Linked DNA regions of Danio rerio. The protein of the gene in region 3 interacts with the protein of the main gene of each other region in a pairwise test. Links are inferred from orthologs where the notes say so. Each region holds a gene or a part of one and is shown on either strand. Other genes may lie near its edges. The genes, in order: tuft1a, cass4, zyx, imp3 and vaspb.

What was found.
Region 1: the proteins of zyx (region 3) and tuft1a interact in binary tests that used the Homo sapiens proteins (3 or more experiments, as listed by UniProt). The link is inferred for Danio rerio from reciprocal best matches to the Homo sapiens genes ZYX and TUFT1.
Region 2: the proteins of zyx (region 3) and cass4 interact in binary tests that used the Homo sapiens proteins (3 or more experiments, as listed by UniProt). The link is inferred for Danio rerio from reciprocal best matches to the Homo sapiens genes ZYX and CASS4.
Region 4: the proteins of zyx (region 3) and imp3 interact in binary tests that used the Homo sapiens proteins (3 or more experiments, as listed by UniProt). The link is inferred for Danio rerio from reciprocal best matches to the Homo sapiens genes ZYX and IMP3.
Region 5: the proteins of zyx (region 3) and vaspb interact in binary tests that used the Homo sapiens proteins (3 or more experiments, as listed by UniProt). The link is inferred for Danio rerio from reciprocal best matches to the Homo sapiens genes ZYX and VASP.

The regions. Positions count from the first base shown.
Region 1 is NC_133191.1:23,754,982-23,759,239, reverse strand, and holds the start of tuft1a (tuftelin 1a), read left to right. Parts: upstream 1-1,449; 5' UTR 1,450-1,507; coding exon 1,508-1,564; intron 1,565-4,258. UniProt on the Homo sapiens protein: Involved in the structural organization of the epidermis. Involved in the mineralization and structural organization of enamel.
Region 2 is NC_133186.1:29,872,969-29,877,211, reverse strand, and holds the start of cass4 (cas scaffolding protein family member 4), read left to right. Parts: upstream 1-1,417; 5' UTR 1,418-1,575; coding exon 1,576-1,581; intron 1,582-4,243. UniProt on the Homo sapiens protein: Docking protein that plays a role in tyrosine kinase-based signaling related to cell adhesion and cell spreading. Regulates PTK2/FAK1 activity, focal adhesion integrity, and cell spreading.
Region 3 is NC_133191.1:17,422,773-17,426,941, forward strand, and holds the start of zyx (zyxin), read right to left. Parts: upstream 2,801-4,169; 5' UTR 2,582-2,800; intron 1-2,581. UniProt on the Homo sapiens protein: Adhesion plaque protein. Binds alpha-actinin and the CRP protein. Important for targeting TES and ENA/VASP family members to focal adhesions and for the formation of actin-rich structures.
Region 4 is NC_133177.1:10,337,506-10,341,504, reverse strand, and holds the start of imp3 (U3 small nucleolar ribonucleoprotein protein IMP3), read left to right. Parts: upstream 1-1,199; 5' UTR 1,200-1,296; coding exon 1,297-1,433; intron 1,434-1,548; coding exon 1,549-1,656; intron 1,657-2,250; coding exon 2,251-2,325; intron 2,326-2,992; coding exon 2,993-3,072; intron 3,073-3,999. UniProt on the Homo sapiens protein: Component of the 60-80S U3 small nucleolar ribonucleoprotein (U3 snoRNP). Required for the early cleavages during pre-18S ribosomal RNA processing. Part of the small subunit (SSU) processome, first precursor of the small eukaryotic ribosomal subunit.
Region 5 is NC_133193.1:43,695,029-43,698,597, forward strand, and holds part of vaspb (vasodilator-stimulated phosphoprotein), read right to left. Parts: intron 2,685-3,569; coding exon 2,657-2,684; intron 2,565-2,656; coding exon 2,525-2,564; intron 2,358-2,524; coding exon 2,301-2,357; intron 1-2,300. UniProt on the Homo sapiens protein: Ena/VASP proteins are actin-associated proteins involved in a range of processes dependent on cytoskeleton remodeling and cell polarity such as axon guidance, lamellipodial and filopodial dynamics, platelet activation and cell migration.

The DNA.
Region 1 (4,258 bases), about 6.3 Mb from region 3:
ACCGTGATATTTTTATCCAAGGTTATCATACCATCAGAATGTAATACCGGCCCATGCCTATCTTTGATATACAATTATTTTGTTTAAAGAGTTAAAATGGAAGGACAAATTTCTAACAATTTTTAATCATTGGATTATGGATCTTATGTACCATCTTACAATGGAGATGTTTCAGTACTTCACCAAAGGTCACAGTAAAAAATTACATTCAATTTGGCAGCCAGTGGTGATATAGAGCAAATGGATCCAAACATTTGCAGTTTGGCTGTTAATTATTTGTTTTTCTCTTTTTTCTTCCCTCCCCTTTATAATTTTTTTTTATTTATGTTTTCATATTATATATATATATATATATATATATATATATATATATATATATATATATATATATATATATATATATATATATATATATATATAGCACACACACATACATACATACAATAGATGAGTAAATATATAAGGGAACTTGTATTTGCTAACATATGTATGTATATTTCATGATATGATATAAACAGATTAAGATTGTGTATAATACTGCAGTGGGGCGAGAATAAATTGTCTCTATTTTTTAAATTGTTTTGAAATTGTTTAATTGAAAAAAAAATGTCAATAGAAACATCTAGAAAAAATAACTATGCTGCAAAACTGCTTATCAATCAGTCCTCCTCTAATACCAGTTGTGTCTGGTTTGGACCACAATGATGCAAAGTTGTTAAAAATGTACTTTCAGTGTGCAATACATGCACTAATTATAGCCTGTCACAAAAAAAATAAATGACATAACGTCAAATGGAATGGAGATGAATGTTAAGTCACACATAGCCTACGTGCCATTACTTAATAACTCTCATATTGCATTTTCCCTCTTCACCTATATATTCTTTTTATAATAAACTATCCTGTTTAAAATACATATTTAACTATTAACCTTCTACAATCACAGACAGTTTAGGGCTTTAACTAAAAAAATCCACTACATAACTAAAATGACCACATGTACTCCAACCTTGTACGTGGACTTGTCTTTTGTTTCTGACTTACCTGAAGTAGGCCTGACATTTTTCATCTATTCTTTAAAAAAATAAAAAATAAAAAACTGTCTAGCTTTCTACACGTTCTGCCTATTTGTATTGCTTAATTTCCGTAACCTCGGGATAGTGGAATGAGATCGTGTCTCTCAGGTGAAACACATCAACATGTTGCGGTCTCCCGCGGGCTGAGGCGAAACAAACGGAAAGACATGCCGAAGAAATGAAGTCACACGACAGATTTCACGCTATGACGCGTTACAACGACCCGTGAAACCTGCGAGGAAGGGAGGGAGATGTAGGAGAGGGAGGGGAGTGTCTATCAAAACCGTTCAGCCTGCGGTGAAAGCTGCACCGAACCTATTTATTATTCAGCGTATCGGACAACACAACAAAACACTCCGCGCGCGCTGAGGGACGTTCAGCTTTTGCTGCTCTTATTTAACTTATTTAACTTTTAATAAAGAAACGCTAAAATGAATCGAATGGGAAGTATGTGCACGTTTGATGAAATCCGAATGGATGACAGACTGGTATGTACTGTAGCAACTTATTCACTACTTAGCCTATATATATGCCTAAAAGGATGATTTGCTGACTATATTTTTTCTCTTCAAGACTAAATAGTTTATATAAATAAACCAAAGAGATACATCATGCTACACCACACTAACACCCATCATGACTTTATTGTGGTAAAAGTGTAGACAGCTTGTTTTCTGGTGCTTGTTTATTTTGTATTGTTATTATTTGTATACACACAAATAGGCTACCATTGTTAAACTGTTGCAAAATCATGACTGTTTAGAGGTTATGGTTTTACCACAATAACCATGTGTTTTGTTAAATCTTCAGTAAGATTTTTTTGTTTTGTTTTAAAGTGTAATTTTAAATTTATGTATTTAGTATTTATAAAAAACACAGAACTGGATATTTCATGTAATTATACATAATTAATATTAGTACATTTGTAACTGGGGCACTGTAAAGCGTTTCTGTATACTGAATAAAAACAAGTATTTATTGAAATTACACTTCTTGCCAGATTTAATATTCGCATGTTAAGACTTTTTGCTTAATAATATAATTTCAGAAAAAAAAGTGTTCTTTGCAAATACTAAATAGGGAAATTAACTATCAAAGTACACCTTTGTTCAAAGTCATACGGACGTGCGATTTCAGAGCGAATATTCAAAGTAGCATGGTAAACACAATGTGGACCATTACACAAGTTGTCACTGTTCAAAAATGATTGAATGTGTGAATATAAAACCAATTTTACCTAAATTCATGCCAGAGGTTTCTGGGTCATTTTCCCACCATGCTCATAAAAGTGAACTTTGATCCTCTGTAACGTATTTCTGCCTGGTGAAATATTAAATGTGCTCTGCATTCCAGATTAGGAAATTATCTACTGCTTATGGTTTTGTCCTTCATTCATCCATTATTATCAAATTTAAGTTTGTGAAAGCAGTTTATCTAAATGTATTTTTTTAATAGATTAACAGAAGTGACAAGCAGCACTAAACCTCATTTACCTCCACTCGCCCTTCTCTGTTCACAGCAGATGCTTAATCAGGTTTAATGTCACTTACTAGATATTTGGTTTCGCTAATATCCTGTGAGAGGCATTTCTGCTAGCACAGGGGGTAGTTAATCCAAATACCAGCTGTATTTGTGTCTGCCAATTCACCAGTATACTGTATATATAGAGTTTTTATATCGAGTTAGATGATCATTAACTTGATCTTTCCATCTAGGTTGTCATATTGATGACCGTTGCTGAGCAGCCTTGTGCGCTTACTGGTTTTATAGCCTATTTGTACCACACAATATAAGCTAAATAACAGAAAGGTCTGCATTTTGCACGCAAACTGGCCAAAGGAGTAGGAAGCAAGACAGGGCTCAAGCATTTACTTGATTGTAGCAGGTTTCCTTCCTTTTTAATATAATGGCCATTCAGTCTGACTTAGGAATTCAACAGGTCTGATGTGATAAAATACAGTATTGTACTGTATGTTAAGGCTACTCTTTTGCATGAATTTCATTTGCAAATATGAAAACAGAACATTGAGTCTTTTTTCAACAGGAAGCTCTTTAATGGACCCACTAAGAACAGCAAGGTCAAAGACCTACACTATGGGTTGCATTCTTAGAGTCACATGTTTCCTTTTTTAAATGACTTTCAATGATTTTGTGTTGAAGAAGAAAAAGCAAGCAAATCAAAATAATCCTATTTTTAATGGAAAGTAAAATTCTTTAAAAAACTAGTGTTGTAGCTAATTTGTTTTCCAAGTTTTGTCAGATGACCTCAGGTTACTGTATACAAGGCGTTTCCCATTTTATAAAACAGCTACACAAAAAAAAAAAAGTTTGTTCAACCTGGTGTGTACTGTATGTGTGTTTACTTTCTCTGTCCTTCATTTACTTGCTCATTCACCGCTCCTTCAATCAATACCTCTTTCACTTGTGACATGAAATTCCGAGTCAAACAACAAATAATTACCTTGTGTTTACACAATCTTTATGTGGCGTCTGTGAAAGGAAAGGTCTTGCCTCCCTCATCAAGTTCTCATTATGAAGCAGGTTGTATGATAAGCATTACCTCTGTATGTCTATGATAATTATCATTGCGTGATATACAGGTCTGTACATAGAGAACAGTAGCAATAAATATGTACACAACATGAAATTTGGCTTATCATATTGCCTTGAGGAGTTACACAGAATGCTGTGGTAAAATGTCCTCTTGCTTCACTCACCTTGTCATGTCAAGTCTTGGAAGTAATTGTACAGTACACAAATGATTATTACGGCACTGCGTAAACTCTTTTGTGTATTAGAAATGTAAATGATTTATTATTATTATGATCATTATTATTATTAATAATATTATTATATATATTACGTGTAAGTTGTGTGTTTTTACTATACTAAAACACGTAATACAAAAAAAAAAAACTAAAACAAATTAAATCAGACAACTGTAATAATCTTATCGTCTCTGGATTCATGATTTATAGTTATCTGTTTGAGTAAAATTTAGTTTTCAACCACAGTAAATTTAAACATTTTATTCTAACCAGTTGTGATTTTTCGAAAAGAAAAGATTTTTTTTTTCTTTTTTGTTATAAATAAAATGAAAATAAAACCAATGATGTTACTTTAATATGTTAATTTTTGTTTCATACTATGTATACAGTTCTCAGTATACTGTATATGAGTAC
Region 2 (4,243 bases), on a different chromosome or scaffold from region 3:
TTTTTTTTTTTACTTTTTTAAACATCATGGGATAAATTTGAAAAACAATTAAAATTTCAAAGACTGAATAATTTTGCCTTTAAATGTATGTCATTCATATATAATACTTACCTTTGAATAAGCTCTATTGTGGCAATACTTGACTTCTGAAATAGGTTTAAAACATAAAAGAAACAAAAAACACAAACGCGAGCATGCACACACACACACACACACACCCACACAGAAAGAGCTGCAGTGAAATGTGTTACTCTCTCATCAATACTGAACATGTATAAAAAACTGAACAGCAAAAAAAAAAATAATAATAATAATTAATTTTTTTAAAGTTTTTTTTTATTTTTTAAGTTTCAAATAATTATAAAAAAAATAAGCTTATCAAAAGAACACACACATACTTTAGATATGGATGGAAACATGTTTGTCAAAGCCGCAGCCGAATCTCCCATCTGTCAGTGATCGTCATCTTCGTGCCATGATCAGTCCCCTAATCCTCATCGCTTCGCTAGTGTCTGAAGGAAAGGCGCGTTCACATTTTACCGGATCTGGACCTACATATTTGGTGATGTACCGTATTGATGTCGACGCATTCAAGCAAAAGATCCGAACCCAACACGATTCATTTATTCAACTTTGGGCTGACTATTTTGTTAAAGAATCAATAGTTTTAAACCTGGTGCACTTTCAGATTTAAACCTCAGCTGGGTGTTTCATTAGTGCTGTGCTCCACACTGCATAAAAGATCATTCAGTTTCATTTGGAGTTTCTGTGCTAGCCTGCTGATCCTGAGGGCGTTAGCACTTTCCCTTTTGTTTTTAGCTCGTTTTACACTGGAACAACTAAATTAATGTAATATTACAACATCAATGATGTAAAAGAAATCTCATGAAATTAAAAATGGTTATTAATACTTTGTTTTTAAATAGAAATATGCCCCTTGTTAAAGTAAATAAGCCCCAATCTCTCGGTACAGGGGGTAAATTTTGCATTTCAAAAGAAATAACTTTCTGGCCCTGGCCACGACCTACCGTATATCATTGGTTTTTCTCCACACCCCCACCCACTGCCATAATCTGTCGTCCCAGCAACAAAATCCCGCCCCTGAAGAATCCATACCATTAAAACAGGAACTCAGCTCAAGCATGTGCAGCCCAGAGTAAAAATAAAACAATAAAAATAGTGGAAGTCATAGTAAAACTGCCCGACTTTGTCTTTCTCTTTTTGGAAAAGAACTTTTTTTTGTTTCAAGTTTAACCAACTTCCTAAAAACATGTATTTTCTGCAGAAACTGGAGGAGGAGATGTTGTCAGACAGGGCTGTGATTGGCTGGAATTAATGAGAGCGAGACGTCATCATGAGTGAGCGCTTCAGACCCCGCCCCTTATTGTGAACTGTCTGCGCTCTCCGTTTATTTGTCCAATATGTGTGTGTGTATGAGTGTGTCTGTGTGAGAGACTGAGAAGAACGTGCAACATACTTTTAACAGACATTAAAATTACAAACAGATTTAGATGCTAACCGTCAAGCCAACATGGACTTTTGAATGGGATTTATAAACTGCTTGAACTCAGAAAGATGGAGGTCGGTATTATTATTATTATTATTATTCATTTTAAAATCCTCTCATCTTCTTTCTGATGTGTGTTCAGACTTTCAGAATGAGTAGAAATGTTCAGAGAAAGCTTCAAGCGTGCTGTCAGGGTTTCAAACAAGATCCGGGTTTATTTTTTTCTCGCCGGTAAGCAACTGCTGGGTTTTCACCGTTCAGATGCGCTGTCAGCCGGTAACCCTTGCCCTCAGTCTCGCTCACAGCCCTAAATTTGCTGTGAAATGTGATGCCGCGAAGCCTGAGAGTGAAAGGAAGAGAGAATATATGGCACTTTATGACTGTCGTTAACACGAGCTGGGCTTTTGAAAGGAGAGGTTACAGCTTTAAGCGAGGAATGAAATCTCTGTTGTTGTAGGTGGATTTTTGGTAGGTTAACAACACTTTTGCTGTTGAATGAATGAAAAAAATCCTGGCTCTTTTTGGTGTATTTTGTGGTGTTGGTAGTGGTTTGTGTGTGTCGAAGTAAAGAACTTAGTGATAGTTCACCTTAAAATAAAAAATTTACTCACTATTTAGCTGACATCTTATTTAATTGAGCTATTTATTGAAAGAAACAAAAGTCCAGGATATATATATATATATATATATATATATATATATATATATATATATATATATATATATATATATATATATATATATATTACTTTCTTAATATTTTGTGGTGTGTGTATGAGGAGTGAAGAACTTAGTGATAGTTCACCTATAAATAAACATTTCTCACTATTTATTCTCCCTCAAATGGTTCCAAACCTGCAAATTATGTTGAACTAAAGCAGGGTGTGAATTACAGGGGGGTTTGGCGGGGATTGAGTACATCAAAACAAGTTATATGAGGGGAGGGGGGATTATTAATATTTTTAATAATTAAATGTATAATCACATACATTTGATCTCTCTATAATGGTGTATACCATTGTAAATGCATTATCGCACCAGTCAATGCTAGGAGAAATATCATTCAGACACATCATTTCTATAGTTTGACTTACAGTGGCCTTTAAAATAGTCACTAAATATCCCTCAAAACACTGAAAATGAAGTAAATTAGATGTAATTTATTAATTTGATTCACTGAAGCATGTGTTCCCCCCACCCCTACCCCAATCGTCAATGTATAATTCACACACTGCACTAAAGAATATCTCATGAAAAAAAGCTAAAAACCTGTCACTATTGACTTCCATAGTATGAAAAGATAATGGTTACAGGTTTTCAGCTTTCTTGAAGTATGTTTTTTTTGTGTGTGTGTGTTCAACAGAAGTAAGAAATTCAAACATGAACAAGTGAAGGGAGAGTATTTCCAGTTTTTGGTGACCTGTCTCTTTAATATTGCTGATTTGTGATTTTCATTTGTGACTTTGACCACGGCTGTGGTTTGTGATTTCACGCATGTCTTGCTCAAAGCCAGAATCAGTAAGAAGATCACAACAGGTGGCTAAATATTTTGCCCAGTATATGACATGCTGAGAGTATCAAGTGCAATTTTGCACAGTAAATAAAAAATCTGTTTATTAGCACTGTATTATTTTCAACAAAGATTTTTTTTTCGTGTGTATTTATACATTTACTTGCACTTTTGAAATGATCAGGCCATGATATCTGTTTCTAAAACTTTGAAGCATGAAGAAGAAACTTTGAAGAACAGATTTATAGGTTTATGAACCGCCTGTCCATTCTTTATTTTATGGATTTCTTAAGTGTAAATCTAAGATTTAGGGAAGCTATGTGAATTTATTTTATGAAATATGTTTTTTCTCTTGCTCTCCAAAGCTGCATTTTCTTTCAAAGTGCATTGAAACATTAATAGTGTCAATTATTTACTATTACTATTTAGTAAACTATTACTTAATGGAAAAAATGATGACTTATTATTATCTTATAATATTATCAAATAATATCTTATTTGAAACTTTAATGAAAAATTATCAGACCTTTATAAAAAAATTGACTCAAACCCAAACATGACTACATGAATAAAAGAAGTCACTCACTCACTCACTCACTCACTTTCCTTTAGCTTATTCCCTGCTTTATCAAGGGTCGCTACCGAATGAATCGCTAATTTCTCTGACATACATCTTTATCGACAGATGTCCTTCCATTTGCAACCTAGCCCTGAGAGTACAGTAATTCTAAGTATACTAAACCTTCAGTGCTGGAAAACACCTACACATTCTCTTATTCACACAATACTGCCAGTTTGGTTTATCCAATTCTACCAATCCAAACACTCCAAGGTTACCGATCCAAATGAAGTTACATTGCATGTGTTTGGCCTGTGGGGGAGACAGAAGGAAACCCACACATACACTGGAACACATGCAAACTCCACACAGAAAGGCAGCCTTCTTGTTGTTAGGGAACTTTGCTGACCACTTAGCCACCATGCCGCCTAAAATGAGAAGTATAGTCATATAGAAAAATGACACATAAATAGCTGTATACATGAGCATATACGTAGATATGTAAAACATAATTGTTACTATTTCTTACATTTTGAACGATTCAATGCAGCTTTTTCCGCATTAAATAATTAATTTCTTACAAAATCAAAAAGAAGAAGTCTTACTAGATCTAAAGCTATTAATGTTGCTTCTGTATTATATTTCATATGTCTTACTTCCAGGTTTT
Region 3 (4,169 bases):
ATTAACCCCACACTGGCTATTCTACTTGTTGCTCTTTACATATCTATAGTTCTAAATTGTGATTTCCCATCCTGTTTGAGCACTGGTTATCCAGATTTAATGGTCCAGAAAAGTTCCTACCTTGATCAGATTGATCCAATCTGATGTTGCTTTGAAAAACTGGCTCAAAAAGTAAGCTGGATTAAGTGATCATGGATTGCAAAAACAGAATTACTAAATTCGTATCAATTTTACCCAGATTAAACCTTTTGAAAAAACGGACCCAGAAGTCATTTATTTTCAATGGGAGCGATAAGCAGCGAAGAGCAACGTGGCTCATCTTCGCTGGTGTGGACATCGAGGAGAGTTGAAATCAAGTTGATTTTATAACCCACAACTTGAGAAAATTCCAGGGAACACAGTAGGCTTGGGAAGTAATACGGTAATATGGCATACTGCGGGATCTAAAAATAGCATAAGTGTCAATTTCAATACCGTTTTACCATCATAAAAAACAACGCACTTAAATAGGAGACATTTATTAAATAATAAATATTATTTACTTAATGCCTACAAATGCTTATGCATGATTGTCATCACGGAACAATGTGGGGGAGAGAGAGAGGTGAGGTAAGATGGTGAGTCGTGCACCAAGTGACTTGCAGTTTGTCAGTATTTCCAGTTTCGACCGAGGGAGACGTGGGAAATACGAACTAGAGGTCTGCATTCCCTCTGCTGTATCGCGGGACCAGTCCAGATTTCTTGCGGTGCAGGAATAAATTTCCGAATAAAGTGCGGAAGCGGTCGGTAACTCTGGTGTAATTTGAGAGAAGGCACGCGGTCTAACAATATCGATCCCAAGAGAGCACGCGCGGTTTAGGCTCCAGACAACATTTTGGTGATGCTGTCTGAGCCTTTCGTAATAATTTTTTACAATATGCACAGTAATACCGGATACCGAGGTAAAATAGGGAGGAGGTTTGACAGTATCAAAATTTGACTACCACCCAAGCCTAGACAGTCCTGTGAATTTTGGTTCTGACCACAGTTGTTCCCAAGCGCTTGTTTTTGATTATTGATATACGTTTTTCTCCTTAAAAAAAAATGGAATCTCACTAACTATAATGACAGTATTGCTGCTTTAGAACATTTCAGATATATTCAATGTAGAATATGTGAACATTTCAATGTAGTGAATTTTGAAGCTCTCTCCGGCTTAGCTATGAAGACAGCGTTGTCGTCAGGGCGGCAAGAGCGAACTTTGCCTCTCACACTGCCTTCGTTGTGAACACAGTAACACACTTACTACTCTTAAGTACCTTTAGAAGGACTTTTACTCAGTAAAGTGAATAGTAATCAGAACAGATATTTTACTCGCACAAATTTTTTGGCAATCAATGGTACTTTTACCTGACTATACATTCCACCACCTATCTATATATGAACAAGCCATTTAATACAATAATAAGTATTATTAATACTTTAAAACAAACATTAAATAGCAATCCACAATCATGTACAACAGGTATAAGAGATAACATTTTCCTGTGTAGAATTTGTTAACAGGTCATGTGGATGCACTTTGAAGACCAATAAAACGTTTAGAAAGCACTTTGAAGACCAACAGTTGTTTAGAAAGCATGAGCAGTGGTTCAAAAATCACTACAGTGTTGTTGTCAAACTTTTTGTCCTAATGTGACCTGCTGCCTACCAATTTGCTAATACATAAATGTCCTTCCAAAAAAAAAAATAATAATAATTATATATATATATATATATATATATATATATATATATATATATATATATATATATATATATATATATATATATATAATTGAAAGGGGAACAATTATTTAAACAGCATAAGTAAATGTTGGAGCTCACTGTATTTCCCATTAGAGTACGATAGACGCATTCACCACACATGCTTATTAAACTGGAAAATCCTAAAACACACTTGCGTTGCCTAAAGGCCAGTAAATCCCATAGTCATTCTTACAGGCACTCCACCCAGAAAACTTATTCGTTCATTCACAACACCATCCTCGCTTTAAATTTTGAAATGATGTAATTGTGGTCTTGTTCTTTAGACTCGGAAACTTGTGTAAGTTCGCTGTTCCTGATCGTTTTTAATCAGACATAACAGCAGTGCGAGCAAAGGAAAACAAGATGCTTTCACCTTATATGGACATCTGACTGGAAAACCAGTGAAATACAGCTCTATATTTGAATTCAATAAAAGAAAACCAATTGTGTTAAATGACAAACACACTCATGAATCTTTACATATAACGTTAACGTCACATCTATGAATAATATTACACAATTAACAATTTTAACCCACGCGCCCCACCCCTCACCTTTTATATAAACATTTTAGATCATATTATTTCACTTATATCAGTGCTATAATGAAGACACTATGCGTTTGCATTTTAAATACAAAACACCACGACTTACAATTGTGCTATTTAACTTAATCGATTTCTAACGTTACAAACCACCCCGAATGTGTTTGAGGTTTTGATGCGAATGCAGATAGCAGTGTGTGAAAACCAACAAACGTCAGAAAAAAAAAAGATGTGGAAAAGACACTTACTGTTCGTTTTCTTCGTAAAAGATGCTGTTAAGCAGTAGATACAGATTGTCTAATGCAGAAACCGCCTCTGATTTCAACCCTTACGGGGCTTTTATGGACAAATATCCTTCTTTGTGAATATCCTTTCTTAATTTATACCACTTTATATTGCTGTATAGGCGTTAAGCACCATGCTGTTAAAACTAGGAAGCTCTAGAGGGGACGTCAACCAGTGAATCTGCTCCGCTCACATAAACTTTTTCCTAATGTACCGACTCTAGACACACTTCCGGTTGACGCTTCCGCATTCCGCATGACCGCTGGAGGTGGGACAAAAACTGAAGCCAATGGTAACTACTGTTAAAAGAGATCTGCACAATATGTATGTATGAATTTGCTGCGATTAATTAATGAATTTATTTATTTATAAAGAGAAAACATAATTGGTTAAATAAATTATTCTGGTCATCAAACATAATTTAAAATAGGAAATAATCTTTATAAACTGCTCTTTTAATTCTGTTATAATAGCAGGGTTTTCAAAATTTTGTAAGATATAGGGTGTTCTGTTTTTTCTATATAGTTCATATACTTTCATATATATATATATATATATATATATATATATATATATATATATATATATATATATATATATATATATATATATATATTTATAAGTATACTGTTTGGATTTTGTGCCAATTTGTTACTTCAGTAGTTATGCACAAAAGCCACGGCAAAGTAGCTAATTAAATAAAAATATAGCAATCAGCTTTGACTTATACCTGTCTCCTTGTCGTGTTTTAGTAAACCTCTCTTTCTGTGAACCAAAAAACTATTTTGTTTTTAATGAAACTGTTGGACTGTTCTACCTCCTCTACTCATGTTTCTTACAGCCCTCCCACTACATGTCTCTTGGAATGACATCATCCCTCCATCTAAACAAGTTCTTTCTTGTTTGGCTTTTTGTCTAAACCTGAATTCATGTTGACATTATTTATAATAGGCATATGCTGTACCCACCATAAGGGACTCTGGACTGGCCATATCATTATTACAATGCTTCCATTTTCAAGTTTCTTAAATTAAGGGTAAAAACAAAGTTTGAAAAGGCTGAGTGACCATATACAGTTTTTGAACACATCAACACATTTCATACATGTTTCATAATCTAGCAACAGTCCCTATAAGGGACTCCCGCTAGGCACAATTGCCTCGATCCGTGCTAAAGCGAGGTTGGCCTGCCTCCCCCTCCTTAGACAGCCTGCCTTACACTGCATCTTTACCTACTGAACCTAAGCATGCTTACTTTATCAATGATGCAACTGTTCAGCTTAACAGGAAGAGAAGTGCTCTCGCCCAGTATATATGCTTTAGTTATTTCGTTTTAGTCGTTTAGGATGCAGTAACAAAGTCACATATTTTGCAGAACAAATCCACAACTATTGATTCTCATAAATTATCATAAAGTCCTCGTGCTGCAGGTATTAGGAGATTTGCTGAGGGTGCAACTGATGTTCAGCAAGGGGTTTGCGTTTTTAATAAACTATGACAGTTCACGTTCTTTGAAAAGTAAGAATGATTAATAAATCCATGTAAAACAGTC
Region 4 (3,999 bases), on a different chromosome or scaffold from region 3:
ACAGTCAATGAGCTCTATTATATGGACTTTTAAAGGATATACTAGACTGAGACTCTGAAGAGAAGGCAAAATGGGGATGCCAATGAGTACATCAGAGGGTTTCTTAAAGGGGCATTTACCACATGATGGGGTGGACAGCAATTTCAAGGACACGTGCAAAATGATTAATAATATTATTAAAAAGAAAATTAAATTTATTGAAATTTATTTTTTTGTCAAATAAAGACTCTGTTGCATACAGTCTGTATTAATGATATTACATATAGTTCAAGTTCCAACACTTAAAAAAATATATGAAAGAAATTCCCCAGAGCACATTCTCACTATCACCATCAAGATATCAAATTTCTTTCTCTCTTTATTTCAACACACTCGCAAAGCTAAAACGTTTGTTCGTAGTTTATAGGTTTCTGGTTCTAAATTCCAAAATCAAACTTTCTGTCAGCTTTCCGCGCATAAAGTAGGCTACATGAACGTCCTTACATTTAAATGAAAATCGCTGTCATGATTGAATTTCCAAGTAGCACAGGCTATTATAATGTTCGTAATGTCTGTAAAGAGCTTTAATTTGTACTGTACCCTACCTGTTCGAGGCTCACACACGCCGTCCAATGGATGGATATGATCGCCATTTCTTATAAACATTCACTTCCTTTACCTCACTTTCTGCAAAGATGAAACTAAGGTTTGATAGTGATTTATGTCGTGTCGGTTTTCCTGTCATGTGAAAATACATTTTTTCCCCCAGTGACATCTCCTGATGACTTAGATCAATTATAATACGTTTACGTCAGCGCAAAATCTGTCTAATTTGATCAGTTTACATACTGCAAAGCTGCGAGTAGCCAAAGTTTTGAAATGAAAATGTATAGTATATTTTGCTACTTAATTTATTGTTTTACTGTTTATTTGGCCATTTTATTTGTTTTGTGATTTTTTATTATTAATATTATTATTATAAAGTTATAATTTTAAGTAAAATGTGTTATTTGACAGGCTGTGTTGTTTGATCAGTTGGATTCTTTATCTGTTAAAGTCGCTCTGGATAAAAGCGTTAATTAATTAATAAATTAATAAATAGATTAATTGATAAATGTATTTATTTATTTATTTGTTTATTTATTTGTTTATTTAAAAATTATAGTGTTTCCCTCCTGAACACTGTGCGGCGATATCGAGCTTAACAGCTACGTTTTTACAGAAAACCACAGTGAATAAAAAGCACGCGTGCGTAAGCTGAAGTGAGCAAGTTATTAACACGTTTAGCCATAAATATAGCCCGTGTTTTTTAGCAAAATGGTACGTAAATTAAAATTTCACGAGCAGAAACTCTTGAAGAAAGTTGATTTTATTAACTGGGAGGTTGACAACAATATACACGAGGTTAAAGTGTTGAGAAAATACCATATTGAGAAGAGGGAAGATTATACCAAGTGAGTAAAGAAAATGCTTCTATCAATGACTGTGTTTCTCTGAAGTTATGGGTCTAATACATCACTGTGAATAAAACGCGGCTTATCAATTAATGCATTCGTGATTTCTCTTTAGATACAACAAACTTAGTCGAAATATCAGAGAATTGGCGCAGAAAATACGGGACTTGGACGCAAAAGATGGATTCAGATCTCAGAGTACAGCCCTTTTCTTGGAAAAACTGTAAGTTTGGGAACCTGTCACATTTTATTGTCATGAATATACAGAAATTGTTTTAGTTTAGAATATATAAAAGCATAAGCGATAATAGACAAGTTTATTTATATAGCAGATTCCATACACAAAGGTAATCTAAATACTTTACATAAACATGAATAAAAGAAAGAAGAAAAGAAAAACAGCAAAGAATAAAAATGATTAAAAACAGGTTTAAAAGGAATCTTATGAACTTTATTATATTTAAAGTTATTTGTTTGTTTGACGAAATTTAATTTGTATTAAATCTTAAGTCTATTAATGTTATTTAATAATTCTAAATCTAACTATACTCGAAACAAGATTTTATTTCTATACAAACTATTGTAATACATGTTTATTAGCGCTATCTGTAAGTCATGGTAAAATTTATGATAGATAAAATAGATGTCTTATATTTTTTGTTCAGAATAAAAATTGTACAGTAAATAAAATGTGAATCTGTATATTATTCCGATTTTTAAAAGCTTGTTGACCTTGGTTTTTTGTGTACACCTCATTCTGTAAGGAGTTTACTAAAGTTTTAGTAGTTTCTACATTTGTAAGATTTCTGTTTTGCAGATACAGTGTCGGTTTGATTCCCACCAAACAGAACCTCTCTCTCGCAAATGAAGTGTCAGCATCTGCATTCTGCAGGTGAGTAAAGTTACTGTGCTTTATTTAATTATTCCAATATGTTGATTTGATAATCAAGAAACATTAATTATTAATGTTTAGGGTCCCCATGCTTTCGTGGACACCAGATTCAAAGACTTATTAAATCACTAATCATTTTAAATTAAGCACCTTTAAAATTTGCACCTCCAGCATACATACATACATACATACATACATACATACATACATGCATACAAACACATATATAGTGCCATGAAATAAAGCCCTTCATGTACTTTAGAGTAATGATGATGTTTTGAATGTGCTACTCTGTTTTAAACAGTCATGTTCAAAGAACTTTAAAACAATTTGATGAATTCAATTCTGGTAATCTTCAAAAGCGGTTTCTGAAATATTGTTGTGCATTATTTTTCATAGTTCTTGTACTAGATTTAAATGTAAGGTTTTTAAATAAAAAAATTCTTTTTTTGTTGTTGTTGAGTTTTTGAAAGCAGCACCGTACATTTGTTGAAATGACACCATAAACTTTCAATTCAAACATTCAAATTTCAATATATTTTTTGATTTGAATAATAAAATAATTTACACAAGTCCTGCACACTGACAACTAATATGTGAGTGTTTTTATGCAGTGCAGGAGATGCAGACAATTTTTGAATGTTGTTCAATGTTGTCTTTTCTACAGGAGGCGGCTTCCCACAATCATGCTGAAACTGCGCATGGCTCAGAACCTAAGGAACGCCATCACCTTCATTGAGCAGGGCCGTATCCTTCAATCACAAGTCTTGCTGATCTCTGCATATGTTCATATTCTTATATTTAAATGGGTGGATGATGTCGTTTTGATCAAAATCAGGCCAAAAGGAAATTAGTTTGGAGTTTAAAATGGCTAGGCAAATTGAAGTTTCTGGAAAAGTTGATTCACCTGCTAAATGCCTCTAAACTGCTCTTGTTTACACCTGGTCACTACATGCATTTTTTCTGTGATCGGATAGCTAAATGGCCCTTAAAACGCATTTGAGACTGATATAAATCAGATTTGCTTAGACCATTTCCTATGGTGGTTTCCAGACAAAACGTGTCTAAATGAATTTCCTAAAATTGGTTTAGAAAAGAGGGGATTAAAGTCAAAAACCTGACTTCAATGAGCCGAACTAAACATCCACGCTTAAATTGGTTCCATATCAGAAAGTTGAAGATCATTTGATCTAACTAATCTGAGTTCAGTGTAAATAATGTAGATAGCTGTTCGTGCACATTACTGTCGCGAAACCCTGAAGGTTGAGCATAGATGCATCCTAGAGATAGTTGTGTGTAAAAATCCCTATAGCTCAGCAGTTTCTGAAATACTCAGACCAGCCTGTCTGGTACCAACAACAATACCACGTTCAAATCACTTAAATTACCTTTCTTGCCCGGATTCATCAACCGGTTTGCAGCTTTAAAGTCATTCTTTAAGAAATGTAGCCTACTTCTTTATATCAGTCAGTGCTTTCTTAATATATTTTTTATTTAATTATGTAATTCATATGCTACATAAATATAGCAAAGTACACCCCTCACAGATCAATATTTTGAATTAATATATCTACAAAATGCTTTATGTTTTTGCATATACATTAAATTATTCAGTACCAAAGCAAAATTTGGAATAAATCTAACAACAAATAAACTAAAGATCACAGTTCAAAA
Region 5 (3,569 bases), on a different chromosome or scaffold from region 3:
AACGTGAGAGTGAAGCGCGAAAAAACAAAGGAGAAGCCGGAAAAAAGGAGCACTTAATTTTTTCAGCAAACGTGAACAAACTGCCATGTTTAACTATCATAATCGCCTTCTGGACTAATATGAAGTCAGAATGATGGAAATACTCCCTAACAGAGGCTTCATGTGCTGCTGAAGATGACAGAAACAGATGAGAGGTTTTCACTGACTGTAGGCTATATTTTGTGTTGTTTTTGAGCCAAAATAAGGACTAAATGTCTGCTGTGTGTAGTTCTTCTGTAGTTGGTAACATATCTGCGACTGTAAGGGTCTGTATTTGTTCATACATGTTGCATTTATTTTATTTTATTTATATAATTGCAGACGTTACAGTAGACTATTTCACACTGTCATTGATCTGTAGTTATAATCAAATCCTGTTCATAGAAAAGTTAGTAATAAACATTTATACAGAAGTATTTATGTATATAAAGCATCTCATTGTGAGAAGTGCTTCTCAAATAATACAGGTATATGAACAACCGGTACAGCTTTACTGTAGACATTTTCTTGAGCGAAAATGACCTCCACTGAAACTTTCTGTCATACACCACGCCCACCAAAAGGGTACCCTTGGTAGTGGAAACGCAAGTGAGATAAAGATGACCCGTACTGACCCGAACCGTACCGTACCAGTCAGTGGAAACGAGCCATCAAATAAATTTGTTTGTTTAAATTCAGCCCATATAAACTGTTTGCAACCACTCCAATCCAGTGAATCCTTTTTTTTTCAGTGTACCTTTATTAAGCTAGGACTCATTAACATGACAAAACGTGTCAGTAATGACATCAGATAAAAATTTGGAGTGGTAAGAAATCACTACATTTTAAAAAAACGTTTAAACTCGCCTCTAAAATCCACTGTGTGTTTATTGCGTTTCGTCTTCTAAGCCGCAAGTTACTTATTTTATTTGATAAAATGCCCACAGTGGCTTTTCCTAGCTCAGCAAATTACATTTTTCTGTCATATTTGGTGGCAGTTTATCAGGAAGTAAATGACTCTTTGGATGAAAATTGCGCTTTATTCGCAAATGTTTTAAGCATAAAAATAAAATCTAATTAGCATATTTGGTTGGAAACATCTATTCATGTTAACATTTATTCAGACCAAAAATATCTATTCTTATTAAAGATTTTTTGATACATAAGCTTAAACTGTAACGCTGAATAACATAGTGGCTGTAAATCATGGTAAAAATCTATGCTAGCTTTTGTTAAAGTAACAGAACACATGTAGAGAAAAAAGCTACATTCAAAGATATAAAGGACTTCAATAGATTTAAACCACTTTAAAACTTGACCTATATGTTCAAATTACAGTAAACCACAGACATGTTAGGGATATTTACAGTGGGGGAAATAAGTATTGATCGCATCATGTTTTTTTCTTAGAATAATATTTCTAAAGGAGCTGTTGACATGGAATTGAACCAGATTTTGATAAAACCCAAACAATACAAACATAAAAAAGAAACAAAAGATTTTTTTTTTATATTAGTTGTGTGTAATAACAATGAAATGACAAAAGGAGAAAGTACTGAACTACTGAAATGTATTTAATACTTTATATGAAGAATTTTGAGTTGATTAAGCTTAAAGATGCCTCTCATGTGGAGAATATTTTTTTTTCTTCAACAAAGAGTAATAATCTTGATGGTTCTGTGGGTCTCGTCTATCAAATGTGATCTTGATTTTGTATTCTTTATTGGATTCAGATCAGGTGATTGGTTGGGCCATTCTACAGCTTGATTTTTTTCCTCTGAAAGCATTTGAGAGTTTCCTTGGCTGTGTTTTAAATCATTGTCCTGCTGAAATGTTCACCCTGGATCCTCTTCATCCTCCTGATATTGTAGATGTTGGACTGAAACAGCACTGTTAACTTACAATGAGGAAGAGCAGAGGGTTGCTGAAGAACTGCAGTGAGATTTTTAGCTGCTGTCTGGGCTTTCACTGCCTTTCTACACCTTCCTTTCTTCATGTGTTCAATATTTTTTCCCTGCGTCATTTCCTTTTATTACACATAACTATATTTGTAAACCAATTAGTTTTGCTTTCCTTGCACATGTGAATTTCTTTTGGTGGTTACCAACATCTGTGGAAAAATTCAAAACAGCACCTTTAGAAATATTTTTTTCTGAGAAAATGGTGACTCGTTGAATACTTATTTCCCCCACTGCATGCAAGTATTTGAAAGCAGGAGAACTCGGGGAGTCGCTTACAATGTTAGACCGTAACCACAAGAGCGCATACTGTAGTAAAAGTACCTGGCAAGTGGACTAGATGAAGAGGGTGACTCCAGACTTCTGGGTGCTGAGTTAGTCCTGTTTGAGACATGTACTGTATATATACACTTCACTTTATACTACAGGGCCCTATAGAGAGTCACACTCAACTGCTGGAGTCTTCAGGACATTCAGTGCTGGTGCTTGCTTTAAACAAGATCAATATGTAACTAACACACATCTAAAGTTTGTGAATGAGTGTTTACCTGGGCATGGTGGCGGATTTTTCCCATGGTCTTCTAAAGTCTGTTAATAAAAATGATAGAGGTAAACATTAAGAATATTCTTGAGTGTCTAATTGATCACAAATGTCAAATCAAAAATGTGTTTGTTCTTACCGCCTGGACCTTGAGTGTCGGAATCATCCTGAAGATCAGCAGGCCAAGAAAATAACAAAGAAGGTAAAAGAAAAGAAAAGAGTGTTCAATATTAGTGCTGCAACTCATTTTAGTACTTCCATTTACAGCAAACGTGACTTTATTCAATCTCATATCTATGGAGAAGTACTAAAAAGCTTCTAAGGCTTTTGCATGCAATTAATAGGGAATTACCATTATTATTACTATTATTATTATTATTATTATTATTATTATTGTTGTTAACATTTTCCGGAATCATTAAAGCACAAACCTACAGCCGACTTCATTGGTCAGTTCAATATATTGGTCAGCTCAATTTCGTAAAACATATTGCATAAAACATATTAAAAAAAACTCTTAATACTCTTGCATGTGCATAGGCCTGTCACAATAATTAACATATCAACTTATCGTACAATACTTAAAATCATTGTAATTCCGCTCAGCCTAGCTCCGAAATAGAGCATATTTGTAATGCAAAGAGAGGGAAAGGGTCGGCAAAGGACCACGAGCACTGTGAGCAGCATGGAGCTATATGTTGGTGCACTTAACCACTAGGCTATTGGCGCCAGCAACCAAGTACTCTTTTAAAGAAATGTGCCCAACACTGCAGATGACTTGCGTTGTGATGAGATTTTTTAGTATCACCAGGCCCTAATTTACACTTTATTTACATGTAAATTTGGTACATGTATTTTTATTCCTTTAAAATACAATTAAAAATATCAAGTAAGAATGTTTACTTTGTTTTCTAATAATACAACAAATATGACAAATAAACAATGTAAAAACTTCATAAAGCCAAAAGCGAGAGTTGAGCAAAGTAAGTGTAATGTCCATGACAAAATCGCCCACCTCTCTGCTTCATTCAATTTGTGTCAGCATCCAAATT